Arabidopsis thaliana: one gene and its partners. The protein of the gene in region 4 interacts with the protein of the main gene of each other region in a biochemical or structural test. Each region holds a gene or a part of one and is shown on either strand. Other genes may lie near its edges. The genes, in order: AT3G55840, KIN11, AKINBETA1 and SNF4.

Region 1 (6,274 bases), on a different chromosome or scaffold from region 4:
GTGTTTGAATTGGTTCTGAAAGTTGACTTCAATTTTCTGCAGAATGATAAAGCCAATTACTACACCTACAGTGGATGGTGGTCTGTTTGGTGGAGTGGTACATATAGCATGGTACTCTCAAAGGCAGCCTTCTTCCACAAAAAATACCTCAGCCTTTACACAAATAGCATGCCAGCATCAATCAGGGAATTCACAACAAAGAACAGGTTCCTTATCACTTTCATTACCTATATGTTGTTTTTTGTATTCCTGAATGTGATTAAAGTGTACCCCACCTAAGTGTGAGATTAATTTAATAACAGGAACTGTGAAGATATTGCAATGTCATTCCTCATCGCAAATGCTACAAACGCTCCTGCTATATGGGTTAAAGGTAATTCTAAATCGCAGGCTACTTTGAGAACCATGTATTGCCTTGTGATTCTGATAATCTTTGATGATAAAGAGCATATCCTCCTCTTTTGGCCTGTTTTTGTAGGTAAAATATATGAAATCGGTTCAACTGGAATTAGTAGCATAGGAGGGCACACAGAAAAAAGAACACACTGCGTAAACCGGTTTGTGGCAGAATTTGGGAAAATGCCACTTGTATACACTTCCATGAAAGCCGTGGATAGCCGCAATTTATGGTTCTGGTGATTGCTGCTTTTGCATGGCAGTACATTTCCGCTGTCTCTTCCACTGGTTACTACTCTTCACGTTCTAGCTATGGACGGGTTTGACGCCAAGTAAGACTTAAAAACAGAACTGATCTTACTTTTACGGTAAGAGGAAGATAGAGAGCAAAAGTTTATAATCGGTGGCTAATGGGGTTTTCTCGTAGAAGCTTATAAAGAGATATAGTAGTAGCCTAGTGTATGTTGTACCCTCATTGTACCATTTGTAACATCTGCTGTTGTGAAAATATTGTTTTGTGCTAAAAAAAATGAGTTACATATATTCATACACTGATCGTTAGATGCTTCCAAAAATTTCAGTAGTGTTACATCTGTTGATAGTGTTTGTTAAGTAGTTGTGTCAATATCTTCCATTGCATCACAATTGGCTCCAGAACTCTCCCAGAAATGTCTTTGCGGCGTCTAGGCTCGGGTAATACGGTGGCTCCATAAACACCTGAGTCAGTGAATCATAGGACTCGTGATTCGCCACCGTTCTATTTGCATTCGCCTCTGCATTCCCAATCATCGCTGCAACCAACTTCTGGTATCCGAAGAAGAATCTCTTGGCTGCAGACTCCACGGCCTGCATTCCCTGAAGCAAATGTATCTTCTCGTACTCTGTTTTCCTCGAGTAAAGCTTCATCGCCGCCTCTTGCAACCTCGGACCTCCGGTGGGATCCACCTCCACCTCAAGAACAGCTGGCACTTTCTGTCTCAGCTCTTTGGACATCTTCGCCATCTCTACTAAGCCCTTTGACCTAAAACAAAATGCGTCGTTTGGAAACGTCGATTTGATTTGTAACTGTTTCTTCACCTTCAAGAAATCTTCAGGATCCATAAGAATGTGTAAATCTTCAATCTCTGATAGAAGCTTCCAGATTCTCTCCAACAAGTAGACGTCTGAAGAAGCTTTTTCGAATTTTCCCTCTTCGATTCTCGATTCGATTCTATATAAAAGATTCACAGAAACGTAAATCCACGATTCAAGAATCTGATGACTAGTGTAGAGCATTTGATTCTCTTGGTTCTCGATGTGATCTGCGTAAGGATTGTTCTTGAGGCTATGTAGCTCCTCCGGGAGACAAACGGCGTCGTATTGAAGATACGGTTTTCCGGCGAGGTTTGGTTCTCCTAAACCGAGCGTATACTTACACCAACGCATCTCATTCTCGATCGTAGACAAGATCTTCTGTCCAACACTCTCCGATGTACGACACGTGGCGATCTCCGAAAGCAAACTCAACGAGCTCCAGCCATTGCTGACCGGAGCCGCCGATACGTTCTCTTCGTAGTTGTCTTCATCTCCGCAGATAGCCGCCACGATTTTTATCTGGCTGGTAGTGAGGGAATCCAACCGTCGGATCCATTCGCGGCGGTTGATGTAAGGACGTGTGTCAGAAGCAACGGTGAGGATTAACCGGAAAGTGATCTCAAGAGCTTGAAGAGCTGGTTTGAGAACGGGCTCGGAGATCCAGTGAGGGAAATAGAGAGAGGACCAGAGGTTTCTAAGTTCAGGCAAACGGAGGTAAAGCTCGTAAGCAGAGCAAGCGGCGGAAGAAGAGGAGGAGATTGGAGAAGAGACGGAGGAGAGCTTACACGGCTCAGGAATGGTGACGTGGAGCTTCGGAGATACCATCTTCCTCTGTAAATCCAAATCAGCCATCTTTTTTAAAAAAAAATACAGAGATTTTTGTTTATTTGATGAATATATTTAAGAATGAGAGGAAAAACGTTTGCGATATATATAGGAAGGATAAAGAGAGAGATGTGAAGGAAACGGATAGGAAAAAGAAGGGAGACGTCATTATGCGGAAAATTAGAGATAAACAAAGATCATAGTTTTTGAAAGTCAACGTACAACAACGGCTGTTTCCTGTCTTTTTTGCATTTTTGTGTCGGTTTTATTTTTCTTTCTATTATTTTGGAATAAATGGAAACTATTTTGTGTATACTCGAATGCAATCAGTTATACGATACGTTTTCCCTAATGGTGGGGAATTATTCAAAAATCTTTCTTGATATAGAAAATTAGAAATGTTCTTTTTTCCTTATTCGAACTATAAGTACTTTTGGATATTGTATCATTTTTACCTACATTAACATAAAGTTTGTTAATAAACACTGGATAACTGATTCGTTGGATAAGAATTATTAAAAAAAAAAAAAAAAAAATTCAAATAAACTTATATTCTCAATTTATTGAAAGCTTATAGTTACCACTGCATAAATACATATACTTATGAATTAGATTTTTGTTTAAAATAAGGAGTAGAATCGATAATGAATTTAATTGGACACTAAATTAGGAATAAAATAAGAGGGCACATGAGGTTTGGTCGGAATCCGTTTTGGATGGCGTTTTAGGACTTTGGGGAAGACAGAGAGAGAAAGAGTGGAACGGGTCCTAGCCTAGCCTTTGACTTTGGTCTTCCTTTTTCCGTATCTCTTAATCCCGTTTGTGTAAACTTCAACATTCCGAATGTTACGTTTCAATTATAAAAATCAATCTTTTTTTTTGTCGGTGTCATTTTATTTATTACTTACAATGAAAATAATAGTGCTATTGATTTGGTTTATTTAAAACATTTAATTTAATCCCTATCTTCTTCAATCTTTGAAAGTTATTTGTTCTTATCGTATCTACTTAAAGAGAACAGATCTTTGAAAATTATATGCAGCTATACCAAATTTGTTTACCTAGTTAATAGAGAAATTTTCAAAATTCTATCCAACTAAACTTTATCAAATTCTTTATATTTTAAAATATGTTATGACAAAAAAAAAAAAAAAAGTAAGCATCCAATCTTTAGTTTTGAAAACCTAAAAACGGGTCTATCCCAACTAATAATAATATCTAGGTTTTTGTTATTAGTTGACTCTCGAACCATATACTTAATTTGTATCGTAGTTTATAGTAGACATTATAGTGTAGTCGACACCTTAGAAGTTAGATCTCGACTATGATTACTTCAATATGAGGAGTAGTTTGAAAAACATAAAAAGGATGTGTAATTGGTTTAAGTTTTTAGAAAAGTAAAGGCAAAATAAAAATTATTGAGTTCCTTGTCTCTCTAACCATACTTGAAGGCACTAAACATATTACAGTAAACAATTACTTACTGACAATAGAAGATAAAACAATTATTAAAGATTAAAACAAAAATAGGAGTATTAATGTTCCTTAAATCCTGGAGACCTTGACTTTGGATTGAGAGCAAATAAAGGAAATCATTGCTTAGCTGTTGTTTGTGATTTGTGAACACTAAACATAAGTCATCGACAAAAGTTGTGGTGATCATAGAAACGAATGGGAACGTATTCGATTGAACAATCCAATATCGAAATTGGAAATCATCATATAGATCAATCAGCCACCTGTCGTCGAGACAATATATTAATCACCAAAGATTAGTTGTATAGTCGACAGTTCAACAATTCCATTCTATACACGTACACACATTCACATACATAAGTTGGTGTCACACATTCGTCTCATGACGTATACTCTTCGCATTATCCTGTTTTGTGTGGGTTTTGGTTACCTAAATATGTCACAAAACATTATACATGGTAACTCCATGTTCTGGAACATATATTTGTTCTAATTTCAGGGGATCTACAAGAAGATAAATTCACGGGAACCTTATATTTTGAAGGTTTGGTTTCACGGGAATTAAAAGAATTGATAAACATATGTTGTAAGTTCACGGGAAATATTTTAAAAACTGAAGATGAATAAAATATTCTTGATTAGGTGTATTTTTGTATCATCATGTGCATTGTGTGAGTTCAGCTAAAGGAGAATGAGATGGATGTATTTGTAGCTACTCATAAGGACATATCTTATCTTCCTTTCACGTTTACGATGACTCTTTCCAAGTTTCATTTCTGTCTCTTTGCTTGAATACTTGTGTCTCTCTCCAAACATTATCTCCTAAAGAAAGTATAACGGTCCGGTGAGGTGATTACCCAAACTATTTATTTACATAAGAGAACTCATCAATATCTTTAAACATTTTCAAAACATTCGAGTTGATACACTATGTTAGCATATGACTAGAACTAGAAGTGATATTTAACTATAATTTTTATGCTCTTTTACATTGTAAACAAATGATTTATATTTTGGTAATTTCTAGAAATATATTCTCGTGGGAAAATAGCTGTATAATAAACTGCATCTGAATTTGGATATTTGAGATCAAACGCGTAGGTTCTCCTCTCGCGTGAAAAATAAAAATCATCAGAAATTACGTGGAGGGAACATGATGACTTTTTAACTAGGACCGGGGGGCTGACCAATCAGGTGATATCGCGCGTTAAAAAAGCAACACATGGGGCTGTCCTAAGTATTAAGAGAGCCACGTGGTGGAACCAAACCGAGTCGATGGCTGGAACCAGATAGCCACGTAGTTAGTACAGCTCATTGGTTTTCTTTTCTCTCCGCGTTCATGACATTGGCTCGTGCTTGGGCCACTCACCAACATTACCTTTTTGCATCCCAATAAATACAAATACCAACAACCACCTTTTCCTATTTCCTTTGGCCGACACACCAAACATTTTCCTTGAATATGAAATGCATATCTAATTGATAAGCCAGATGTCATACATATGTACATTGATAACGCCTAGACAAACAGATAAATGATCAGATACTCTAAGTGTGTAAAGTTTGTTTCTTAATTAGATAAAGACTGCATCATCATGATTCATGGATACAATTGCTTTCCTCCTACATACGTTGCTAACACTGATGCAGAAACGTCTTTTGAGAACTCATCCCAAGAATTTGTTGACAATATGACAAAATCTGCTAGTTTTCCTGGAGATAAAGACCCCAAGTGATGATCCAAAAACGCTGCTCTTGCCGCTGATATCGTCTGCCTGCGATTTTCAAACAAAGAATATGATGAATGCTTGAGAAAATGTTGGAGAAAGACTTAGAGAAGAGGGTTATTACGCAATCAGCGCATCCGTAAAAGAGATGCGTTCAGATGGAATCCAAGCGTGATCCCACTTGGGAGGTATTCTTTTAACCGCGGTTCTGATACTGTGCAACGGGTTAATGTCTGCTACCTGGAGGGAAAACAAACGAAGCAAAGTTTGACTATATGTAAAAACATTGTATATGTGTAGAGATTTTCGAAAACATACAGGCCAGTCTGAGCCAAGTGCCAAGAGTGCATTGCCATTTAAGAGAGATTGGAATAGATAAGACTCCTTTACGGCTCTTTCAGAACCGAGCTTCTTAGCAACAGAATCAGCATCATCAAGCAAATGGTCTGGCTGTTCACGAGCATTAAGTTAGATCAAGAAAGTGAGTTTTAAGCCAGATGCTTAATGCTGGGAAGTAACTAACCTGAACTGAAGCAACAATGTGAAGTTGACCGAACCGGTTGGCTGATCCTGGTGCCAAATGTTGGGCATGCTCTATCTGTGACCAGGAGTTCAGAGATATTAAGTACAGACAGAAGAAGCAGACGTAGCAAATAGCTCAGAGGAATAGGTTTATAATAGCAAACATCACCCTAAATCTTCTATCTCGGTCTCCATTGGCTGCAGCAACGGATTCGTACATGTCAAGGATCATGTCATTTGCTTTGTCGCCTATA
Region 2 (8,162 bases), on a different chromosome or scaffold from region 4:
TTGTACGGCGATTGGTGGTGGAGGTTATCAGAGCCGACGACGTAGCAGAATTCGTGGCCATGATTTTCTCCTTTGTGAGATAGTTTTAAAAAACAGAAAATAAGAAACAGAGTTGTTTTAGCGGAAGTTTAGATCATAGAATCGAACAAACCCTTGAGTAGTTTAGGTTTTGCTCTGATACCATGTCAAGAAACTCTTGTTTGTATAAACTGAATCTCTTAGGGTTTTAGGTTACATTGCTTGGTTTATATATAGGTTACAACTTGAGCATAAAGTTAACCTATTCTAAATATCAAAACCGACTAAGCCCATAGGCCCAATATATTCTCCCTCGTCATCTCAAAAATTCAAAGTTGAAGAAACTTATTTCAGTTTGCCCTCAAGCACAAGTAACTTTTAAAGAAGGAATAATCCATGTGATTGGAGAAGTCTTGCGGCCCACGAATAACAAGTGGAAGTGTTTTTCCTTAAATTGGCAGAAATTTAGGCAACCAGGAGAAGAAGGCTATACACACTTTTTCTGCGAAGGTGGCAGAAATTTATGACGGTGTTATGGACTATCATAAGGATACATGTTTTGCTTGTCCTTGGTTGTGTAAAGCTGGTTTCTTCTATGAATGTAGTAAAGAATGATGTTGTTTTCTGCTACACATGCAATGCGCCAAGATTTCTGAGCCACTAGTCCATCCAAGTCATTTGCATCCTTTATTCCTAACAACCAAACCGGGAGAGAAGCGAAGACATTTTTCAGTTTGCAAAGAGCTAGGACATTATTCCAGAAAGGAAACATTCAATTGCATTGAGTGTGACTACTTTTCTTTGTGTTTCAAATGTGCTACATTACCTCATAAGGTAATGTATAAGCATGATAAACATATGTTCACTCTTTCTTATGGGGATGAGATAAGTACAACGATGTATTGGTGTGAAGTTTGCGGTCCGAACCGACTGATGATGAAAAATCAGCAAAATAAATCCGAAGGAGCGGTTTTATGTGTGATGAGTACTGTAGTGTTACCCTACACATTCAATGTATGTTTGGGGTGGACTTATCCTTGAAGCCCGATATATTATTGTCCGACGGCGACCTATTTACTCCTTTTGCAAGAAGCATTGTCCACACAAAGTAGCTCTCCAATGTTCTGTATTAATATCGTGTTCCACATCTTGTATTGATGCTAAGGACTTAAGTTGGGTAGCCGAATTTTGTGAAATGGAATTTTGATGGACTCTGCGTGCAATGTTTTTAGGTATGACATGTATAATGTGTCTGATATAAACGTTGTATAAAATTGGCATCAGAGGAGAAATACAATAGTTAGAATGAAACAGCTAAGTTATGTACACATGATCAAACCTTAAAAACCATCAAAAAGAAGAAAGGATAGTTACTATTACAGTAGAGTTTAACTTAGAATCCAGGTATATAAAAGTAACCCGGCAAAGTAAACACTGCACCCACATATTATATTATGTTCTCTACTATTACAAACCATTGAACATGAAAGAAAAAAAATGTCTCAACAAATGGTTAAAACATTCAGATCACACGAAGCTCTGTAAGAAAGGCGGCGCATAGATCCAAGAAGAGAAACTGCGGACCGTTAACTCTCTGTATATCCAGCAAGTACTTCTCTTCCCGGGCTTTGTATAGCTGTTTCAAAATCAAAAGTGAACTCAGAAAGTGTATAATTGTTCTTCGAAAACAGTTGGTTCAAGTTCTAAAGAAGGTTTTAGTCTATGTCCTAGCTGGTTTAGTTTTGTTGAACTACTACTAGTGGGATAAAACAACATCAGGATCTTAGTCTTTGCTCCAGCACAATTCTACGAATGTAAACCCCGTTGATCGATTCATATCCCTAACAAACCGAACTAGGCAGTTGTTTATTTTCTCCAAGGAATGTTGTTGATACAAATGTATGTGTGAGTTTATAGTTACCTGAAGTTCAAATTTGATGACAGTGGGTGAAGTCATGGCACAGTCATCCTCAATGATGCTGGATTCATCTCTGAAGTGCAGCTGATTGTTGACCATAGTATTCTGACCATCAGCTAAACCAGGAACCCATCGACATTTCATGTTGTAGTGACCAATCTTCTTCCAACACACATTGAGTTCTTGAAGAGCTTTCAAAACTTCATTCATGATTTCACGAGGATGCGCATGAGACTGTTCAAAACAACAAGGTAACAGAATGATTATCGATTTGGCTATGTAGAGGCAAAGAGTACAGATATCTGATTGTGTGTTGCATTCAGAAGACTTTATGGTGAGGAACAAAAAGAATCAGTAATCAGGAACAAACCTGAAGTCCAAGAGCCCATTTTCGATCAACAGGGACTTGTGATCTTGCTCCCAACCCGTAGTGATCCACATGTGCAGGAATCCAGTGGCCTACAGGTGAAGCGCCCGCTTCAGGTGTGCGCATAGGATTGGAACCACTGTCCTAGATGAGTAACGTTGAAAAGGTGAACATGTTAGTCAAAAATGTTGGAAAGCTATCTACTGAGAGGAAAGAAAAACACATACTGTTGTCTCCTGAAACTCGGATTCTAGATAGCCACTTGGAACACGGAACCGGTTATCCAATAACAGGTAGTATGTAACAGTAGCCTGGTACAAGGAGCAAATGGCATTTCAGTGACTATTGGAAACTAGTTTCGGGGATTAAAAGCATTAGAGACAGGAAACTACATACATCGTTTTGTGTTCTGTTGCGTAGAGATTCCAAAACCTGGTTTCTATCAAATCCCATGTTAACCACTTCTTGAACTATCTCCTCATTGATCTGCAAAACATAAGAGATATTGTTACTATCACAGCAAGTGAACTCTATTAATCTCCAAATGGCACTGAAACCAACCTTTTTAGCCTGCTCTACTGTATCCGGTGGAGAGACAGCAAGATAACGAGGGAGATGAGTCTGGAACCAACGGTGTTGACGGATCTCAGGAATGGTGATTCGTTTCACCGGGTCAACTATAAGCATCCTTGGGATCAGGTCTCTAGCCTCAGATGATAAATGACTTGGAAGAGTGTAAATCCCACCCTAAAGAGAAAAAAAACACCTTGATAAGTTACTTCACATACATATGAATCCATTTAAGAAGAGTCTTTTAGCTGAATCAAAGTATAACGTACAGTACCTTAATTTTCTTGAAAAGGTTGGGAATGTTTTCATCATCAAAAGGAAGAGTACCGCATAATAGAGCGTACAATATAACTCCGCAACTCCATACATCTACTTCAGGTCCAGCATATAATTTACCTGATATAACCTACAACAAGAAGTAAGAGATAAGACACTCATAAGAGAAACGAGACATAGTCACATAGGTGAAAAACAATTCAGTAACTTTACTAAACTATATACCTCGGGAGCAGCGTAGTTGGGGCTTCCACAACTCGTCTTTAGAAAATGACCATCCCGCATAACATTACTCAACCCAAAGTCTGCAATCTTAATATTACACCTCGAATCCAATAGTAAATTCTCAGGCTTCAGGTCTCTATGGACAACCATATTACGATGGCAGTACTCTACACCAGATATTATCTATTCGGATATGAGTCAAACACAAACAACACTCAAACTCAAAGATGACATGATACGCTACAAACACACTGGTTATGGTAAAGAGAAAACAAACCTGCTGGAAAAAGTTACGAGCCTCATCTTCTTGTAATCTGCCTTTCTCAACAATATAATCAAAGAGCTCTCCAGACTTGACATACTCCATCACAACATAAATGTCACTCGTGGTCTCTATTACCTCATACTGCCGAATAATATGAGGATGCATAAACAACCGTAGAATCTTAATCTCCCTCCTCACTGTAAAGAAGAAATATACATACATTAAGATAAAAATACATACTAAAACCTAATAAGCAGAAACATTTGATTATCAAAGCTTTTGTTCTAGAAACCACTAAAGCTAAAAGTAACGGTGCTTGTATATACCTTTCTCTTCCATCTCCATGTTCTTGATCTTACGACGATTAAGGATTTTGATAGCAACCTTATGCCCTGTGACAACATGCTCTGCTATTTTCACCTTCCCAAAAGACCCAATTCCAAGAGTTTTACCAAGCTTGTAATTCGGTAAAATCGATTCCACTCCATTATTGCCAAATCTATTTGATGAATGATCCATTTCCTGTGTCCCAATTCAACATCAAACTCATAAGTAAGCTCTCTTAGCAACTTCTCTATAGAAAAACATCAGTAAACATATTAACTTGCTCAAATAAAAAAAAACATTCTTCAACTCAATTTTCATTTCATCAAATCTAATCTAAACCAACCATAAGCTTGTAAGAAAACTGACAAGAACCACCGACATAACTACTTTGTAATGGTGGTTTTGGTCTGAAACCAAACAAGAGACTCACAAGTTTGAGTTTAGAAGACAAAATTGATAAACCTTTACAAAGAAAAAAAAGTCAATTTACCTGAAAAGCTTGTTAATTTCGAAAACCGTCTTGGAGTAGATCCGAGAATCAAAAACCCAGATAAATTGTTCAAACAAAGAGCGAAGAAATATACAGAAACAAGGAGAATCAGATTGATGGGTATAAATAGGGCAGAATTGTAAATTACGATGTAATCTGAAGAAATTCTTGGGGAAGTCAGATTTCCAACTCGTAGGTGACGCAGAGCTGAGTCAGGTTTTTTTAAGTCTTCATGGTGAAAATTGGTAATGACGAATCAAGAAACCACAAAACCCAGATAAACATTTATTGCCATTTGCAAGCCCTTAAATTAGGGCCTTTTTGCCCATTTTCTGTTTTTGTTTGAAAAACTAGTTTTTTAAGGTTTAAAATTTTTATATTACTGTTTTTATGATCTATATATACATTTTTGCAGCCACTTTGTGAAATAAATCCTAGAGTTGGAGTTTATTTACAGTGGCTGCCACTCGCATTTAATAATTGTTTTTGATAATTAGAAAGAAAATCTTTAAATTAAATATTTGACAATCTTCCCAAAATCTTTCCACATTAACTACACGATTAGTTACTAAAATAAAACTTCCGAAATATTTAATATCATTTAATTACTACAAAATTATCATTTTTGATATTGTTTTTCTACATGACTATAATAATTCGATTATAATCATCAAACCGCAGAGATATTAGATAGCATTTAATTACTACAAAATTAAAAAATATTTAGACAATGATTCATAAACATATCATAAATAAAATCAGTGAATTTTTTTTACGGGACGGATTGGCGGGACGGGTTTGACAGGACGTTACTTAATAACAATCGTAAACTATAAAATAAAAATATTTTATAGATAAATATAATTTGCAAATTTTTATATATAGTAACTTTAAAAAATAAATTGTCTCCGCGGTATACCGCGGGTTAAAATCTAGTTTTCTATATATAAAAGCGTGCTAATGATAAAGCGGATAAATTAAGAAGTTTCAGACGCATTTTATTATATAAAGTAGAGTTTTTAAAGTTAATAACTCAACTGATCGTGACACGTAACAAGTCAATCGTTCATATGTTGATATTGTGTCGGATTTTTTTTTACTTTTTTCCTAAAAGAAATAGGCAATTTAACAAAAACAAATATTTACATATACTAATTTATATGTCTATATCTAAAAAAAATAAGTTATAGTTTACTTAACTAAGAAGGGAAACTAACAATAAGATGGAGTGTATAGAATTAAATTGTATTTGTATTGCAAAATCGAATTGTATTTGAAATGTATACAATCAAATTTAATTGTATTTGTATTATAATAAAATAGATATTTAAATTGTATTGCATAATCGAGATTTTTTAAATATTTTTTCTAAAAGAAATAGGAAATTTAACCAATAAAAATACATACACCAATTTATATTTCTATATCTAAAAAATTTAACTTAAAATTTTCTTAACTAAGAAGGAAAACTAACACAATAAGATGGAGTGTATAGAATAAAATTATATTTGTATTGCAAAATCAAATTGTATATGAATTGTATGGAATCGAATTAAATTGTATTTTTATATAATAAAATAGATATTTAAATTGTATTGCAAAATCGAGATTTTTTAAATATTTTTTCTAAAAGAAATAGGAAATTTAACAAAAACAAATACATATACCAATTTATATTTCTATATCGAAAAATTTAACTTAAAATTTTCTTAACTAAGAAGGAAAACTAACACAATAAGATGGAGTGTATAGAATAAAATTGTATTTGTATTGCAAAATCAAATTGTATATGAATTGTATGGAATCGAATTAAATTGTATTTTTATATAATAAAATAGATATTTAAATTGTATTGCAAAATTGAATATGTAAGATTGAAATTTGGTTTAAGGAAATACTAAATTAAATACTGAAAAGTATATGAATTATTATTTAAAATTTAAATATCATCAATAAGATGGATGTAGTCTATAGAATTAAAACAGTTTATTAAGATAAAATAGATAGTTCAAATGTAGAATAATTGCTGAGAATGCCCTTTTCACACTACCTTTTTCAGTTATACCCTTTCATATTTGACATTTTCATTTCTACTTTCAGTAAATTTTTAATGACTATTTTACCCTTATTTGGAAATTGTTTTTTGCCTAAAATATTCCAAATAAATTTCCTGCCAATAAAATACCATAGTTTTTGTTTTTGAGCATTTTTTTTAATACACCTTTTACACAGAATTCATTGTATATACTCGTATATAGCTTTCATTGTATTTAACAACTGTATAACCATAATACAGTACTGCTTCCAACTGTACAGTATAGATACACCGTATAAGCCGTATTTTAGAACACTAGTGTTTTATAAATGTATGTGGAAAGTTGAGCCTAATAGTTAGGCATGTCAACTAGAGATAATGCTCGTATGCTGGCCTGGCCTTACTCTAAAAACAGCGAATTCGGGTTAAATATATATATGTCTTGAAAAATTTGCTCTTTTAGACTAAATGTTTTTGGAGCTTAGTCCGGCTAGGATCGGATCGGACAAAAAGTCCTACATAAATATTTTGATATTTGTTTTGTTAAATATTTTTGTTAATATGAAAATTGTTTTACAAAAAAATTTGAATTGAAAAACCTAAATCTAGTTTTCTAATTGTGCCTTACATCTTTGAAGTATTCTGATTTTATATTTTTATTTAGTATAAGTTTAAACAATTTATTGGATTATTTCTTTGTTTTTAAACTTTTTCTTTCCTTTTTTTTTGGTTCAACAAAACTTTTATTTTAAATTAACTTAGTTTTAGTGGTTATTTAAATTTTGATTGACTCATGTCATACATATGTTCTTTCTTTTTCAGAGATATTATAAATTATAAGTTTGTTTATTCGAAATAAAAAGCCCGGAAAAGTCATGTAGCCCTATTATGGTCAAATTGGGCTTTAAAATATAGGATTAGAAGTTTTATGGACCGGGTCGGTCTCGCTCTAATATATGTAGGTTTGTATGTCTTAATTGCATATTTCTATATACTTTATCTTGTATAGATTTGTATCTCTTAATTGCATATTTTGATTGAAATTTCATTTGAATAATTGAGTAGAAAAATCATAAATTAATTTGAAAAATATATATATAAGTAAACTAATGCAAATCTGTAAATATTCTAATAAATGTTAGGTGTATAATTAAATGGATTGAGAAGCTATGTGAGAACGACATGTTAGCATGACATTTTCTTTAATTACACATGAAAATAAGGTTATTTCTAAAAAGTATTTCTCAATTAATATATAGGGGATTTAGAATGTTGTTCAAAGTTCTTACCAGCTATATAATAAGCTCGACTTTGGTTTTTCTGTTCGAAATCTCAAAGCACCAATTTATAGTCTAACTAATTAGCTCTTAAAATCATTCGATCAATTATTTAAACTTTATGTGATTTGTGTTATTATATTTTGAACTCGATAAAGCAAGCTACTTATGAAGATAGCTAGTGAAGAGGTAAATAAATTTTCAGATTCTGGGGTAGAGTTAGAGGTTTTTCTATTCAATGACATCCTTTTTCTACAAGTTTTGTTAAATAGCGGTATGTATAAAATGACTACATGTGAAGTTGATGTATAAAACGGTCATAATTTGAAAATTAGAGTATTGAATGACATATTTCCCGTTTTGGTTACGGTAAAACGATGTCGTATTGGGAACT
Region 3 (7,365 bases), on a different chromosome or scaffold from region 4:
CTCAGTAGGAACTCAGGCAAACAAATGATGCTAAGAAAATAAAATTCCGTAGTTACCCCGGCTTGTTGGGACAAGGCAATCAATCCAAATTCAGCGACTTTCAAATTCTCTTGCGCATCAAGAAGCAAATTTTCTGGCTGCATTGAGAAAATAAAGAAGAAAAAAATTTAGGCACTAACTAGCTGCACTTAAAAGAACCTACACTGCAAACTTGGCCTAAGAGTTACCAAAAATGTTCCTTGTACCTTTAAGTCTCTGTGGTACACTCCCCTGCTGTGGCAGTAATCAACTGCATTGATAAGCTGCTGGAAATATCTCTGTGCTTCGTCTTCATTCATGCGCCCATCATTTTTCTTCACAAGTTTAAATTTAATGGATTGGATAAAAGTCAAAATAATATATTATCTAATCTGTAAGATACAGGAACTTCTTAGCTGAGCATGGGGCATTTGGTTCATGATTCAAATACCAAAGGATGCATTAGATACAAGTTAAAGCCCTTGGGAGGTAAAGGGAAAACTCACAATCTTGTCAAAAAGCTTTCCACCACTGATGAACTCTAGGACAATATATATCTTCGCCTTGCTCGCCAAAACCTGGAATGATATCAATCATTTCATTAAATGTTAGTTTTCAACATATTTGCTTAGACTCCAGGGAGCTGTTAATTTCTAGTTAATCAAAGGAAAATAGAGACACGTAGAAAAAAAATTGGGGCATGGAATTAGACCTCATAAAGCTGCACTACATTTGGATGGTTGATCAGCTTCATAATAGAAATTTCTCTCTTTATCTGTAAAAGCAAACGGGAAAGACCCACATCATACTTCTGGACAGAAGACGGATCTATCTGTGAATCTCGCTTTTAGAAACCACGTTTTACTTCAAGAAATGTAACATGGGCATATCAATGGACAAGAAAGGAGGCATGAAAAAACTAAATGCCGATTAGGAAAGCGAATTACTTGTTCAGCCATCTTATGCTTCAGAACCTTGTCTTTATCAAGGATCATCAAAGCCACAGGGTCTCCTGTCTCTGTGTCAACAGCACTCCGCAGTTTCCCAAAATTACATTCACCGATCAATCTTCCAACCTCATATTTGCCAACCCAACGCCTGACCTTTGGCTCACTCATCACTCAGAGTTCACCTCTTGATCTTCTTCACAAGCTGTTTCATGAAAATGTAATGTCAATGTTAGAATTCTATCTCCAAAGAACCCAACAGTGCAGGCAACAGAGTGTTTCTTTTCTCAATTCACAGAAACTAATGCAAAAGGGACAAAGAAACTGTAAAATACGAGAATACACACAAATAGTACTATGGCGTCAAATGTGATAAAGACAAGGCAAAAACAGCTGAAATCCACAATGCGATGGCAAAGCTTTTCAGCAACAGCATAAATTGTTGGGTATGTTTCTCATTGGGCCCTTTAATTCCAACATAAATTTCTAGAATCATGACGTCGATAGTTCATGCTACAAATTCATCATCGTCCTCCTACACATTTGATTATGTACAGGTCATGAACAAGTGACCAAATTATCCAATTTACCGAATGATTGATTCTTCGTTCGAAGTGAAACATGGAATAGTAGTATAGTACAACGGAGCTTCAGGAATACACACCTGCGAATTGTCCCGGGAAAAGGGAGTTGAAATCGCATGCAGCCTTTCCGGCAGTAGATTTCAAAAATCTATGGCGCAGAATTGGCTTATCGAAGGAGAAGAAGTAGTTTGTCGGACAAGAAAGGAACTCTCGGCGACAATGCAGAGCGGAGGAGCTCGAGAGAGTAGTAATTGGAAACAGAGCGTCTCAATTACTCGGTCGATGCTTCTTCCGCCATACTCCATCGTGTGGCTCACTTTTTCTCACCTTATTTCTCTTTTATCTTTTTCTTATCCAAATTAAAATTTTCAATCAAATAGACGACGTGGATTTATTATGAGTACACTTTCAAACTGGTTAGCCTTTTCCAATACCAAAAAGAAAGATTATTTTCAAAAATTTGTCACTTTCGCAAACGTTTTGTCAGAAGAAGAAAAAAAACAGGATTTATGTGTTTGGTTGCTAGCAGATAAGCTTGTTATAGCCATTATTAGCGAATGTATTTTACAGTTTTTGCAGAAAATAAAACAACAATCGTTACAATGAGAGAAGCTTTGTACACAAGCACCACAAACCAGGTAAGAAAGAGGTTAATAAACTCAAATGTTGGGCACTCACTAGTCACTATGAACAAAGAACATGTTTTCACATAATTGAGAGATGAAAAAGAAAGAAAGAGAGAGAACAATGTGGCACTGAATTTTTAGGGTTACCGTGTGAGCGGTTTGTAGAGGACAACAGTTATGTACTTAGACTCGAACCTGTGGGTTAAACCCAAAGCTACTATGGATTGAGGAGTCCATCCTTGCTCTATGAACACATGGTTAAGCACCACATGTTGAGGCTTTGTGGCTATGGCTGTCTCTTCAGTAGTGCCAAGAAGTGTTAGATGAAGCTGAGGTGGCACCGCCAGTGGCTCTTTCGCGTAATCTTCTGCGGCTGGTAGGGTTTGACCGTAGCTATGATCAGGTGATGGTGGCGCCTCAAACTCCACTATGCTTTCTGGGTTTTCTGGCACAAAGTTCTGCATGCATAATGATTGCAGATACTGTTAAGCTGATTGATAGATTTAACATGAGAAAAAAAGAGGTGGGAAAGTAACTTACATGAACATCGAGAATGTTACAGACATTGCCAACTTCGTCTGCTACAAAGGGTAAATCTGGGATGTATTTGGATTCACCGTCCACAATCACCTTGTAGTGGTATATGCCAGATGGAAGGACAAAGAGAATCGAGTGGTCTTTCCCTGATTTCTGCAGCTTCTTCCTGGTGAATGTAAACATATTGTTTTTAACATATATCACGAAATCTCGAGAGAGGGTCCACGAGAAACAAAGTCAATTATACCTTGATCTCCAATTGTCCCATGATCCTTCCACCGCCACATCATTACCTCCTTGGTTCCATGTAATGATGGTAGGGATTCCTTGCTCTGGGGGATTATCAAAAACTCTCTGTGATTGGTTCCATTGGATGTTATTAGGAGGAGGGGCGTTTGCTCTCTGCAATGGAGCCACGGGAACCTGAGAATATCCACATAAACACTGAGCCGTGAGATCTTACAAACCAATGTGCAAGAAGAATTTGCGAATGTCAAAACATTATATCTACCATCCGACACGAAATGCAGCCATTAGGTACACATGTTAAGCCTAAACAATGGAAGAGGTGACGCATAGGTGAGCAAATGTTGTAAGATGTAACGTGGAATAACAATGTGGGCTGAAAAGAAAAGGAGTCGAAAATGAATATAGCAACAGTAGACTCAGAAATTTACTCGCATACAGAGTACAGACAAGACCTTATTAGCAAAAGATATTTCACTATTCCCACAAAAACCTGATAACAAGGTCAATTTTAGAAGGTTGTCCTTCACTTATCTTATGAATTATTCACATATTAAGAACAATGAGAAGAATGACGAAACATCCAAAATCTGTAATTCGTTCAAGTAAAAGCTCTGCGTGTTTAAATTCAAAAAGGGCGAAGAAAAGAACAAGCTTGCCCTCCCTCCTCTTAAAAATGAAAGCAAAAGACATTACACAAAAGACTCACAATGCGACATGCAAATCAACAGAACAGTATCAGTAACTGGTAAATGACCAGAGAGCAGCAGGAAAGTCAAAATCAGCATAAAAACCTAGAGAGACAATAATCATCCTATTTGACTGCCATACGCTTTTCCACACCAGGCATGGAGGCATAATCAGAAGACAAATAAGACCTTCTCTAAAGCAGATTCTCTAGTATGATTAACAAGATTTTAACTCACCAAAAGGAAAAGACATAGCAATAAGGTGATCTAAGCCTCTCTCTCTCTCTCCACCAAAACTAAGGAAGAGTAACTAGCTACCTTGTCATTTACCAGAGTTTTTGACTTCTCAAGAACCAAACAAAACCAAGTCAAGTCTAATTCCTTTATACAAAAGATTTCATTCACAAACGTACTTAGTCTGCAAAGTTGCCCTCTTCACAATGAAACAAAGATAAATTACACAAAGACTCACTAAGGGACATCAAGAATCATGAGCGACCAGTAAATGACTAGAGACCGGCTGGAAAATAAAGAAAAAATAGCTAGGAAACCAAAACAACATCTTAAAGAAAGGTAGAAACTTTTCCACATTATGCATTATTTCAAGATACCTGAACCAAGATAACACAAAAATAAAAGAGATTCTCTAGTACAGAATCTCTAAACCCAACTCAGAAAAAAGCTTTAAGAACAAGAATCTACATTACAAATTCTCAAGAACCAACAGGATAACACAAATCAAGTGAACAAGTAGAGTTCACTCATAAAAAAAAGGCTGGAGATTTTGTACTTGGATCCTATCTAAATGAAGAAAGTGTCTCACAATTAGTGAAACAAATGAAAAGTCAAGTGAACGAACATTCTCTTACTCAACGAAACAAATCAAAAAGATTCTCTTACTATTATCTCTTTGGGCGAATGTTTCAATCGATTCAATTCAAAACCAGAAATCAAATTCAACGATTAAACAGAGAGAGATATTCGAGAGAGGGAACCTGAGGAGCGAATAAGAAAGGAGATGGAGATCGAGCAGGACTTCCGGGAGGAGAACTGCTCATAGAGTCTGAAGAAGGACGACGGTGACGACTGCGTGCAGAAGGATCGCCGCCATTAGATCTCGCCGAGGACGAGGTAACATCTGCACCACCGCTACCGGCGGCGGCGTCTTCGTCTTTGCCGTTCGCATTTCCCATCTGAAAAAGCCCAAATCACAGAAGCGAGAGAGACAAAGAGAGGAGAGAGATAGAGGAAAAGAGAGAGAAAACCAGACGTGAAGAAAAATGGAGGGAGGACGACGAGGAGGAGATAATGAAACGCCCCTCAAGTTAGAAGTTAATTACGAATAATGCCATTGGTAGCGAAAAAGAGATTTTGCATAAAAGGGGCTCTTGAGAGAGAGATATCATTAAAATCCGTACCAAATGGATAAACGAGTGACTTGGCGTCCAAAAGTTTATAATTATCCACTTTTTTTTTGTTTATTTCTTTTAGTATATAATAAACAAATGTGAATAAAAAGTTGGTTCAATGCCTTTGAGAAGGATAATGACACAAGGGCCAGTCACCTCCTTGCCACCGATTTGTGTGCCTTAACATCTTGCTAGAGCCAGTGATCATAGTATGCGTATCGTGACGATGAAAAGGCCTTAAACTCCAATAGGTGGGGTTAGAATAGAGATGGTCAAAGAATCATCATTTTCCAAGATTTGTATTGGTTAGTCCCGTAAACTAGTTATTGGTCGAAAGATTGTTTCGAAAAGTTTGGAGGGTTTCAAAGCCAATGTAAACTTGTAAAAGGCGATGGTCACTATTCACTAAGCCATGAGTGATTGTCATGCACTTTCCTTATAGGTTGAGTCATTGTTTTTTCTTTTGCTTTCTCGCATTGTATATTGGTCACTTTCAAATTGTAAGATTTCAGCTTTTGCTTTATCATTTACTTTGAACTAAGGTTTTGATTCAACCTCATATTTTCTTCAAACGAGTGTACTATCATTGGAAAAACTTGATTTCAATCACTTCAATTTTCATCAATATATTGACCTTTTGTTTAGAAATCTTATCTAGTGGACACTAAATCTTCCACAGACACCTTCAAATGTCATTTTCAGAGACAAAAATTCATTCAAATCTTCATCAATTACTTTATTCTTCGTAGGTTCACATATTGAAGAATTAAGATAATAGCCTCACCCAAAAAAAAAATTAAGATAATAGTTTTCACCTCAGAAATCATCGTTAATATCCATCATATATATAAAAATTATTATATGTATATTAACAATTCAGATAATTTTTCACGTATTTTTAAAAGACTAAATATTATAATTAAATAACTTAAACGAATTAAACAATAAAACAATAAAGAGATTATAAGAGCGATAACTAGTTATCTTCGTTCTCTTTTACCAACTACTAATCCTTAGTTGTAACAAAAGTTTGTTAGATCACATTAAAAGTACAAAATAACTTAGAATTGCTACACAAATTCTAACACATCTATTTAAGGACATAAACTAAGGTTAATAAATAAACGCGTTATAAATAGGTCTAACGAAAATAAGTTTATAAAGTTAATTTAAATTTTTTTAAAACCCTACATAAATGATGTTTTCTCAAAACAAAAATTAAAAAGAAATAAATTGAATGTTTTTAATTACGAAGGATAAAGACCAGATTAGAGGATATTTGTAATACTAGTAATTAAACAAATCATGAATATTATTCTTATTTTTTGTCAAATTTCAAATAGGAAAAATAGGAAATTGCTATATAAAATAAACATATACATATAAAAAAAGAGGAAAGTAACTAGGGTTTTTGGGGTTATACGTTTCACTGTTTGTTTCATCCTCGCTTATTCCTCCCTTAAAGAGTGTCGCCACCAAAACACACACACACACTTGCCTCCTTCTTCAACCTCTCTTCCTCACATTGCGTCTTCTCCATCTGATCCTTCAATCCTCGTTCTGTTTTTGATCCAATTGAATCGCTTCCTTGTTTTGATTCTGTTTATCTTTCCAAGTTTCTAATGATGGCGGAGACTGAAGGATCAGTGGCCGATGATCGAGAATTGATCACCCGTGAAGGTGGTATTGGGACTAAGTCTCCGTGGAAAACAACGACTTCTCCTGTTGAGACTATTGACGCTCCTGTAATGGGAGCTCATTCGTGGCCTGCACTCGCCGACGCTGCCCAACAACCGCGTCCTAAGAATCCTCCGGCGCCTGCACCTGCTCCGCCGTCTAAAAACATTCCGACGTCTATCCCAATCCCTACTCCGGTTAGTCAAACAACCGACTTCTTTCCGTTGATTTGTCAATGTTGTTTGATTATGCTTTAATTGAGTATTAATTTTCCGATTGTAATGGTGCGTGGTACTTGGTAGAGCTGAGAGTTATCTGATACTGGATATCAGTTGTGTTCGTGATTGGTTTAAGTTGGTGATATTGAATCTTTGATCGAATTTGATGCATGATGATTATGACGTTTATTTATTTGTCGTGATTTTCTTTTACTTGGCTTGAAAGGTTTATAGTGTGATTGGAAAGTCTTTTGTTTAGCATTGAATTTGTAGCCTTAGCTTTGCTCATAAAAGCTCTTTTGTTTTGTTGTTTAGGCCGTAACTGGTCAAGCGAAATCTAAGGGTGGTGGAAAGGCTAATCCTGGACACAAGAATCCATCTGGCCGTCATTCAAAACCAGGTCCGAGGAGCAAC
Region 4 (9,449 bases):
ACCGTTTTCGAGTTCGGCTGTTATTTGAATATTCACAGAACATTCAGTATTCCATGTGCTTTTGTTTTCCAGTTCAGCAGTCACATGCAAGTAAGCTCTCTTGTAATCGTCAAAGAAGGTTGAGACCAAATGGGGATCAATTATTCTTACAGGCTGCAATAAAAGCAATTTATAACATTCAGTAAGAAGATGACTATAAACGTTCCGTGGAGAATATTGATTGATATCATCTCTGGAAAACAATGTAAACCAACTAAACGAACCCCGGTGACAGATATTGACACTTCATCCCATATGCCAGTATTCCGGTCCCTAGAAGAAAAAATGTTGTCAGAGAGAAATGCCTTAAACTATACGATAAGCTAAATCTTGTAACAAAAAAATAACCTTATTGGACAAATCCAGTCCCAACCTTGCACATACTGTGCAGCTACATCTTTTCCAATCTGTCATGGATAGTCCAATCACAACGCAAAGAAAGAAGAGTGATATAAACTTCCAAGAGAGAGAGAAGGAGGGAGGAGGTGTACCTCATGATCACCACCTTGGCCTCCCTCGGGAGGTATAGTCCCAGGATGATCTGGGGGATGAACAATAAGAGCAAGTAAATTGCTCTCAGGATGGAGAATATCAGTGACGTCAAGTGTATGTCTGCGAAACATCCCTTTGGGAAGCTCTGTCTTGTGGCCATTTACAAACACTTGTGCAGAGTAGTTGATGGCACGGAAATTCAAATGCACGTATTGATTCAATAACTGCAAAACCGTCAAAACAAAATATGAAAAGAAGACACAAGAAAAATAGCAATTTCGACCAAGAGAGAGAGAGGGTGAGGGTGGCCCACCCTTTGACATTGGAATTTAGTGAAGAACCAGAAAGTGTAGTAGTCCCTTCCGGAATCGGCAATATCTGTGATCGCTTCATTTTCAAGTCCATAAAAAGGATCCGGAATTGCTTTGTTTTTCACCAATGTGCCCAATACACTGTTCACAATTAAGATCCTATATCAGTAAAATCTCTCATTCATGCATGAAACAATTAGAGGTATTTACATAAATAAAAGCTGATTCATAAGAAGAAGAAAATTAATTATTAGTTATCAAGGCAAAATCCAAACTTGACAGACACATTCGAACAAAATCAAATACTTAAACAATTGTTCTTACTTTGATTATTAATAGCTTCAAATTTTCGAAGAGGAAAGTGAACACTATTACTTACGTTCCAGGTACGGCGGCTTCCATCCACCGAGATTCGGAACTGATGGCCGGAGGATTGGTGGTAGTGAGCTGAACGCCGTTGACATCGACCTCCGTGGATCTCGCCGCTATCCAGCCGAAATCTAACACCGTCTTCCCGATCTCCGCCATTTTAGTATCTGATCTCAGCTTCTGGAATGTTTATGTCGAAAACAGTTGAGAGAGTTGATGAAGAAACTTGTTGGACTGGAAAAACGAAAACGTTTATTGTCTGGATAAGCCTAAATAAGTAAATAGAGTAAATACATTTTTCTCTATCACTTATTATGTCATCAATTATTTAACACTTATTTTTAATGACATTAGATTTTATTTTTTTTGCTCAAATATTTTTTAAATGACATTAGATTTTTTTATTTTTTTTTAGTGTCACTAGATTTGATTGAATTTTGTATTACTTTTATTGATATATTTTAAGAGCTATTGAAAAATCCGAAAGAAATCGATAATGCTATGATCAAATCACTCGATTAACCATTACTGAATATTACTTGTCATTGTACTTTTTTACTTGTTATTGTACTTAAGGTTATGATTCGTTATGATTGTAATTGTATTAATCATTACTTGCAAACTTCAACCATAAGGCTTATTCTCGCTGGTGACAATTCATCTTTGTCAACCAGTGCATTGTCCTACACTTCTACGGCCTTCTCATGCTGTGTTGCTTTTCGAGTCGATGAAGTGAAAAACTCAAAACCAAAAAAAAATGGAAAAAAAAAGAGGGAAGAAAAAGCTGAGGGAAGCTACTAGTAAAAGATTCCGGTAGCCAATATCTTCACAAGAATGGAAACCCGTTCAACTAAAACAACAAAAATAATAAGAAAACAATGATGAAAGAGGTTCGTAGCAAATTTACAAATTCCTTGCAAGAAGAAAAAAAAAAAAAAAAAAAAAGAAGCAAATTGTTGGGTAGTTTTGATTGAGGGGAAATGAGAAAAAGAGGTTGGGGAGGTTGTTTTGCTGTGGGAGTCAAAGACCGAGCAGGAATTGGAAAACATCGCTCAGTGAAATGATACCTTCAACACGTTTGCTCCCTGCTTCCACTATCACCAGCCTCCTTACACCTGTTGTGTTTTATATACACAAACCCAAACCCCAGTTACATCTCATCTGATGTTCCTGTGTCAAGCAACAAAGCTGAAGATTGTATATAGGAGATAGTGTGTACCTGGATTCGCCAACCGCTCCATCACTTTCACAAGAGAGTCTGAGCGCAAGCACATGTGACATCTCTGCCCGTTGAAGATTCCATAAGGCGGGCTCGCATCTTGCCCCAACTGTAGCGCCTGAAAACCCACAAACACATTATCCTCCACTTTATTATAACGTTTCATCTCTTCTTTCATTCTTGTAAAGATGTATGTTCAAATAAATCAGAAACGAGGCAATTTCCATGATAGATAGGCAGGTTACATTTAAGTAAAACTCGTAATTTGATGAGACATGTGATGGATCTTGGTTTCTGATGAGAGGTTTACCTGGTGAACTGTCATGTCATCAAGATGAATCTGTGCGTATGCCTTGTCTTTAGCCAGAGCAGTTATATCACTGGCCAATTACAAATATCATCAGAACACAAGGACGTCAAAGATGGAATGCATAAGACATCATGTCGATTGATGGATAGAGGTTTACCTTCGAGAGTATATGTCAATAAGCGAGTCGTTGTCATCCACTACGGGAATTGAACTGACTTCAGCTGTAATAACCAGGAAACATAAATTAAGCATGACTCATTCATTCATTTCCATCTATGAGGAACCAGGGAAAAGATCACGAGAAATTCTATAAATATATCTGCTTTAAGATTGACAAAAATGTTTCTATGTTTTTAAACCTCGTTAGTTTACTCATGTTGCAGCAATTACATCTGTATAAAAATAATAAAAGTGGTCGTAACATCTAAAGTTGGTTTGTTGGTCTGCATTGACTTGAGTATACCCATGTGTTCAGCTACTTGATTATATTACCATCTAGACAAAATATTTAAAACTGAAAATCTGATTGTAATGTAGAGGTTGATAGTCTGAGTTGCAGATGAGCTTTGAATAAGATGTTGCTGCAACAAGATAAGAAAAAGGATTACCTTGAACTAATAATGCGAGCGCAGAACCCAAAGAGGCGTGAGGTCTCAATGTAGCGAGAGGTTTGCTACTTGATTCTCCGATTCTAGGGACCCACGTACCCAGGGGAATTGAACAAATGGGTTGCTGAAGGATAGGTAAAGAGCTAGACGAATGTCTAAAGTATCTGCATATACCTGGAAGATTATGCTTAATTTAGAGCTTAAGTGTCTGATAAAGGCATAAATTTCGAAAGGAATTATTAACAGGGAAAACTGTGTAAAAAGTTTGGTAAAGTCAATTGCAACTTTAGTTTCTAATTTCCCTCCCTCCTAAAGATCCCATCCCTTCACAGAATTTGGAGAAATGAAGAAGTGGGAAAATTTTGGAAATAGCAGAATCATATGCACGTCATGAATTAAAAAGTGAGAAATGCCAAATTGGCGCGCTTATCAGTGTCTTATTCACAAATGAAGGGACCTTACATTTTAATATGCCTGATAGCGAAGCAAGATGCAGTAACTGCGGATATGAACCATCCTGCAAAGAAGAATATATAACCGGAACAGCTGCCACCTTGTTTTGCAAAATTTTCAGGGCAACGTCTTTCAGATTATCATAGGGTCCAACCTGATAGCCATATATAAAACCATTAATAGCAAGAGAGAAATACTACTAGCTCTTTTCAATATAACATGCAATAGAAAGTTCTAGGATAAGGCTATGTTCAGAGATTACGCAAACAGAAGAAAGTTAGTAGTAACAGCGATACAAATCAACTGTGAAAATCTCACCTGAACAAGTGGCCTAGGATATGGTCTCCCACTTCCATCATATTGCCGGCTAATATGAGCCTTCCCCTCTTTCCAGGCTGCTATTGTGTGCGTCTCAAGCTCTTCCTCTGTCAAGTTTGATCCATGAGTTCCAAGCTGCAATTTTACAAATTTGCTATTATACTCAAGAGTGAAATTTCATACTGAGAAGCTAGTAAAACATTTAAAACTATGTGATTTATGAGATATCCAGACTTCCGTCTTGGAAATTCTAAGAATATACAATAGTAACTCGATGGAATGCTCTAGCAAAGAACAGTTTTAATAGAAGCCAACCTCTCTCAGTATTAGAATGAAGTCTAGTGGACCAAGAACTCCAACAAATTGGCCTTTTCCAAAGTCCCAAAGAGGAGCCAAAGGGATTCCCTGAAAGCATCTGGAATTAGCAAAAACCAGAAAGCCAAACAATCTCGAAGTATAATTAGACGAATGTTGTTCACTTAAGTTTCACTTCCTTCCCTTTCCGGGTCTGGATGCAACAATATTAGAATGTTTATATGACGGTGAGAGACAGAGAGATGAACATCCTAACAAGAACAGAAGCTGACACAAGGGTAATTGGCAAATAAAGTAAACCTGCTCATAGAGTATATGGAATGCTTGCTTCACTGGCAAATTAACATCCAATGCAATAACCTGTAAAATTTCCAATCACCTTAGACAATTTCCGAGTAAGAAGCCAAAGGTTATTCTTAACTGATAATCTATAGGACATGAAGACAGAAATTATCAATGATCAAGCAAAAAGAAAAAGAAACCAAACCTTGCCCGATTCTGGGAGCAGCTCATATGCAGTGCGGGTTGACAATAAAACCGATATGCGGTGACGAGAAAGCTCCAAATCAACCCCCGACATCCTAGGAACAGCTTCCTGGGACGGGTCAGCCTACAATATAATCACCATGTGAAAGCAGTCAGAAACTCAATTTGAATGTAGTCTCAGAGACAATTTAATGGAACTTAAGGAATCCTGCTTTATACATTAAGATAAAATGGTCTAAAATCAATTATACTTGAACTAATGACAAACAGTTAAAAATAATCTGAAGGATACCAACCACGGATCAAAATTAAAGAAACCAAACTGGAAGCAACTCGGGAAACCTGAACCATCAAGCAGCGAGAATAAACACTGCATTTTGGAAAAGGAAAGGTCAGATTCCTTACCGTTCGCAGGAAGACATCATCCACATCCATATTCGACCGGCCCAGTGTCTCTGGGCTAAAACCAGCAGGAACCATATCTGGCCCAGTTATAAATATTGTATTCACTACTCCACCATTTCCGCTTACAAATGGTTGGTGCTCATCGTGCCGCCATTCCCCATCAACAAAAAACTTATACTGCATGAGAATGAAATAACATAAATGTAACATTAGTGGCTTCTTAAGCATCTCACATTGTAATAATTAAAATCTTGTTATATATAGTACATCCAACTGCCAAAATATATGAATCTCTATACACACACTGTAGCCTTTATTAAAAGAAGTGATTTAGGTATCACACAGCATGAAGACCCCAACTTTTGTTATGTGGATGGTGATGTATAAAGTCAAATTTTGATCAATTAGCAAGGAAATTTGCAATTTTCAGCCACAGTCATACAAATATGACAGAGGTATATAAGATTCTCATTGCATAGGTTAAGTATCCAGAGACTAAATGAAGCACAATTATGGACATCGCTAAATCACTACAAGGACATAAATGCTTCTGCAGGGATTAATTAACAAAGAATTTGCCATGATACAGGTCGAGTACAAGATTATTAACCTGATGATATCCTGGCGTCAAGTTGCAAATGACTTGAAAAACAGTAGGGCAGCCCTCGAGCGGTGACATTGGCACATGCTCTGTCCACCTGTTCAAATGCCCATTTCAGAAATCAGTCCATGGACTGCAAAACCCCGATAGATACTATACAGAGCACATACTCTACACAAACCCCGATAAATAGCTTAACTGAAATATAAAGTAAACTATCCTAGTTCAAGCTCAGTCATCTCACCTGGTGAAAGATCCGCTTAGGAAGACTCTTCTACCTCCATAAGGCCACACGAAGCGTGTCGGAGTAAGAAGCTGCCCTGAGGCAGCGCTGTTTCCACGGCTGCTATCCAATGTAGAACCAAACATCCCCTCCCAGTAGTTATATAGTTACAATCCACAGAAACTAATTCCTAAAAACCTTCTGAATCGATTCTTAATGCGTAAAATAATCTCGACTCTTCAGCAGAAGAAACAAAACCCGGTGAAACTTCAAACTTCAACGCTTACACATGCAGAGAGTCCGAATTCAATAACGCTACCATAAATTCCAGCAACCAGTAAACCGAAACCCTAAAAGCCCAAATCACGATCTACAACGAAATTACTGAACTCTTCCCCCAAACCTAGGTAGAGAAATTCCACCAACACGAAACCTTGTAAAAGAGCCCTAAACTCAAAGCACGAACGATCTGGCTACAAAAGCAAAGGTCAACTGATTGACAATACACACCACCTGGAAAACGTAGCTGAAAAATTCCGAGGAAAAGAAGGCAGAGGAAGTCGCGGCTCTGATCTTTAAATTCGGGGAGTAGAGAGACCTCGATGATGATCGGAATTGATTGAAGGGAGGGAGCAAGAATTAGGGATTTGAAAAGTTGGAGAGAACCCTAAATAGAGAGAGTGGAGATGGCATTGTTTGGATCTGGGCAAGGAATGATGTTAATGGTCTTTCAAGGTGAAGAAGAATCTGAGGGCGAAGAAGCGCTGCGTAATGAAAATGTTGTTTTTAATCCATCGACAAAGATATGGTTTTTTTTTTTTTTCTCTTTTTTATTACTGTATACAGTTTTTCCGATAACATTTAAAAAAAAAAAAAAAATTCTACTTTTACATAACTGATTATTCTTCTCTTTTTTCATAATAAATAACTATATGAATTATGCAAATAATAGCATCTAATATATAGTTTTAGTCAACTATCTAATAAATCATTTCCTATATATATAATATATCACATAAATGTTATGAATAAATTAGACGAGGATCCAAGTTATTAAAAATATTTCCACTTTAAAATTGTATCTAGTAAATTCTTTTTTTGGTATTATTTTTTTAAACTCATTTGTCTTTTCTGATGTTAAACAGTACTATAAATCAAACAAAACCAAACTAACATTCAAAAACGTTTCAAAATACACTTTTCTCTTATTCTCTTGTGTTTTGAAGCAGGGTAAATAAATAAAGTAAAAAGAAAAGCCATGTTTTTTTTTTCTCTAATTTTTATTGTGTCAACTCTTATAATTTCTTAAATTAAAGAAAATAAATCATTACATCCCACACCAATTTATTATCGGGTTAAACATAATCCATGAAATTACATTGTACATCTATTCTCGGTAGACATGTAATACAGGGAGACAATCGTGTTGTCTTCCAAGTTGACATTATTTGAGGGAGAGGAGACTTCATGTTTGAACCCTAGGCATGCAATTACATTTTATAGTAGATTTAGCCTTAGAAAGACCTGTAAATTAGGGCTAAAAGCCTAAAACCAAAACACGACCTTGAAGAAAAAAAGAGTTCGGTTTCTAATTAGTTTTATAAACTCTAAATAATCGAAGTGATGTAACTTTTATTTGTTGTGAGTATATATTTTTAAGTTGGATTTGAACTTTCTTATAGACATGACTTTATATAAGTGTATATATCTCGCTCTTACTCTAATGTTGTTTATCTTTTTCCTCAAAACGTATATAAGTCCCCCGGCCCTCTCTTTCAGTACTATTCTATATATACACTTACTCTATCTGTCGGAAAACAGCAAATGAGAAAGACATTTGTAAACAATGGTCATTTTGGCTTGTTGGTTATTGGGCAGCATTCACGGTCGCTGGCTAGTATGGACAATTGGATATATATACTCCTTTAATGGTCATAACTTTCATCTCAAAATCTTGATCGCTATATTTGGGCATTGAAAAACAGGCCAACAAAGTTTTTTTTTTTTATCTCATAAGGGCTCTTTTTAATATTTGGAAAGTCTTCATTTGGTTACATATTGTTAGAACATCTTTGGCTCTCGTCCTAAACATCCGTAACTCCTTCGTCGTAATTCTGGTTATGTATATGATCTTTGGCTCGGGAACTAATTCAAAGAGTTCTTTCTTCTTCTTTTCTTTCAGTTATGGGTTTTGCATCAGATTTCGAGAAGAATTTCTTTAGCCTCCACTGAATACATTTTTCTCTTAGTCTAAACAACTCTCCAATTACATCACATATGCTCCTTCTTTCTTTCTTTTTTTTTTTGATATGAAATCAATCAAAGTGAAAAGCTTAGATTATACAATATAGCATAGCCTAGTTCTTTGTAACCTTGCCCAAAAAGGAATTTAAGGAAACATCAAAGCTGGGAAAAATATTGGGAGACTAACGCGCAAGCAGTTTCATTGATGGTTCTTTCTCTTTCGGGTACAAAAGTCAAAATCTGAGTTTATCATTGATGGTTCTCTTGTAGGCAATTTCTGATGGTTCTCTTTTTCTCCTTCCAAAATAGATAGTCCATAACTCTTTGTCCGTAAGTATAATTTCGATGATTTTTGTTTTTTGTTTTACGAGAACGTTCACGTCACCAGAAGTATAATATCATTGAAATTAGGTTTGGAAGATTACACAGTTTTGTAAAAATAGTTAAATAATTTGTATACCAATTTTTCTTGCACATTCTTTATTTTGTTTCTCGTCAGTCAAACGAAAACCTAATCTGAAATATATATGTGTTCTTACATAATGCCAAGCTTTAAAATTTCATTAGAAATGAGTTGTTCCCGAATAGTCCACTACTACAAATAGTTAATAACTGAAGAGAGAAAACTAAGATGGTATCAAATAGCACTTTTCTTTCACTTGAAGAACTTTTGACATGCGTGCATCTCATTTTTCATAGGAATCAAGTTCAGCAACTTGCCTAAAATCATCATAAAGCTATTATATTTCTTGGTCCATGCTGCAACCTTAATGGTTGTAAGTAAAATCAACATAATAAGCTATTATATTTCACATGGACCTGTCCTCTTCATCTTTCTCTTTGTCCTTCGCAATGGGTACATCAGATGTGGGTTGTACTGGTTGTTACCTTAAAATATTCGCGCTCATGGTTCCCGAGGCATCGCTGCCTGCCTGTGCAGGAGCTCAATGCCGCGATTCCATGGTTTGAGCCAATGGAAACAAACATTTATCCCTAGAATCATTAAGTACATAGATGTCAGATATAACATTGTTAAGGTTAATATTAGTACATAGC

What was found.
Region 1: the proteins of SNF4 (region 4) and AT3G55840 form a complex in vitro, tested with the Arabidopsis thaliana proteins (one study listed by BioGRID).
Region 2: the proteins of SNF4 (region 4) and KIN11 form a complex in vitro, tested with the Arabidopsis thaliana proteins (one study listed by BioGRID).
Region 3: the proteins of SNF4 (region 4) and AKINBETA1 form a complex in vitro, tested with the Arabidopsis thaliana proteins (one study listed by BioGRID).

What each region holds. Positions count from the first base shown.
Region 1 is NC_003074.8:20,716,495-20,722,768, forward strand, and holds AT3G55840 (Hs1pro-1 protein), read right to left. Parts: upstream 2,373-6,274; 5' UTR 2,323-2,372; coding exon 1,036-2,322; 3' UTR 640-1,035; downstream 1-639. Other genes in the region: EPC1 (Nucleotide-diphospho-sugar transferases superfamily protein), read left to right, coding at 43-206, 303-373, 479-639; LAF3 (Amidohydrolase family), read right to left, coding at 5,372-5,546, 5,623-5,738, 5,817-5,948, 6,022-6,096, 6,190-6,274. UniProt on the Arabidopsis thaliana protein: Positive regulator of basal resistance.
Region 2 is NC_003074.8:11,127,353-11,135,514, forward strand, and holds KIN11 (SNF1 kinase homolog 11), read right to left. Parts: upstream 4,754-8,162; 5' UTR 4,605-4,753; exon of another isoform or gene 4,457-4,604; intron 4,162-4,456; 5' UTR 4,159-4,161; coding exon 3,966-4,158; intron 3,837-3,965; coding exon 3,652-3,836; intron 3,558-3,651; coding exon 3,375-3,557; intron 3,280-3,374; coding exon 3,148-3,279; intron 3,051-3,147; coding exon 2,865-3,050; intron 2,790-2,864; coding exon 2,700-2,789; intron 2,615-2,699; coding exon 2,531-2,614; intron 2,448-2,530; coding exon 2,307-2,447; intron 2,171-2,306; coding exon 1,940-2,170; intron 1,655-1,939; coding exon 1,541-1,654; 3' UTR 1,268-1,540; downstream 1-1,267. UniProt on the Arabidopsis thaliana protein: Catalytic subunit of the probable trimeric SNF1-related protein kinase (SnRK) complex, a central regulator of cellular energy homeostasis, which, in response to seemingly unrelated darkness, sugar and stress conditions, activates energy-producing pathways and inhibits energy-consuming processes.
Region 3 is NC_003076.8:7,203,193-7,210,557, reverse strand, and holds AKINBETA1 (5'-AMP-activated protein kinase beta-2 subunit protein), read right to left. Parts: upstream 4,892-7,365; 5' UTR 4,841-4,891; coding exon 4,643-4,840; intron 3,393-4,642; exon of another isoform or gene 3,335-3,392; coding exon 3,224-3,334; intron 3,136-3,223; coding exon 2,960-3,135; intron 2,879-2,959; coding exon 2,716-2,878; intron 2,634-2,715; coding exon 2,319-2,633; 3' UTR 2,062-2,318; downstream 1-2,061. Other genes in the region: AT5G21222 (protein kinase family protein), read right to left, coding at 57-137, 246-353, 525-596, 731-793, 966-1,136; LARP1a (LA RNA-binding protein), read left to right, coding at 6,679-6,930, 7,267-7,365. UniProt on the Arabidopsis thaliana protein: Regulatory subunit of the probable trimeric SNF1-related protein kinase (SnRK) complex, which may play a role in a signal transduction cascade regulating gene expression and carbohydrate metabolism in higher plants.
Region 4 is NC_003070.9:2,897,918-2,907,366, forward strand, and holds SNF4 (sucrose nonfermenting-like protein), read right to left. Parts: upstream 6,946-9,449; 5' UTR 6,296-6,945; coding exon 6,171-6,295; intron 6,024-6,170; coding exon 5,936-6,023; intron 5,503-5,935; coding exon 5,326-5,502; intron 5,045-5,325; coding exon 4,922-5,044; intron 4,795-4,921; coding exon 4,735-4,794; intron 4,525-4,734; coding exon 4,435-4,524; intron 4,255-4,434; coding exon 4,120-4,254; intron 3,956-4,119; coding exon 3,811-3,955; intron 3,523-3,810; coding exon 3,349-3,522; intron 2,962-3,348; coding exon 2,898-2,961; intron 2,811-2,897; coding exon 2,741-2,810; intron 2,549-2,740; coding exon 2,431-2,548; intron 2,327-2,430; coding exon 2,232-2,326; 3' UTR 1,859-2,231; downstream 1-1,858. Other genes in the region: AT1G09010 (glycoside hydrolase family 2 protein), read right to left, coding at 1-153, 264-312, 388-446, 531-755, 845-983, 1,222-1,370.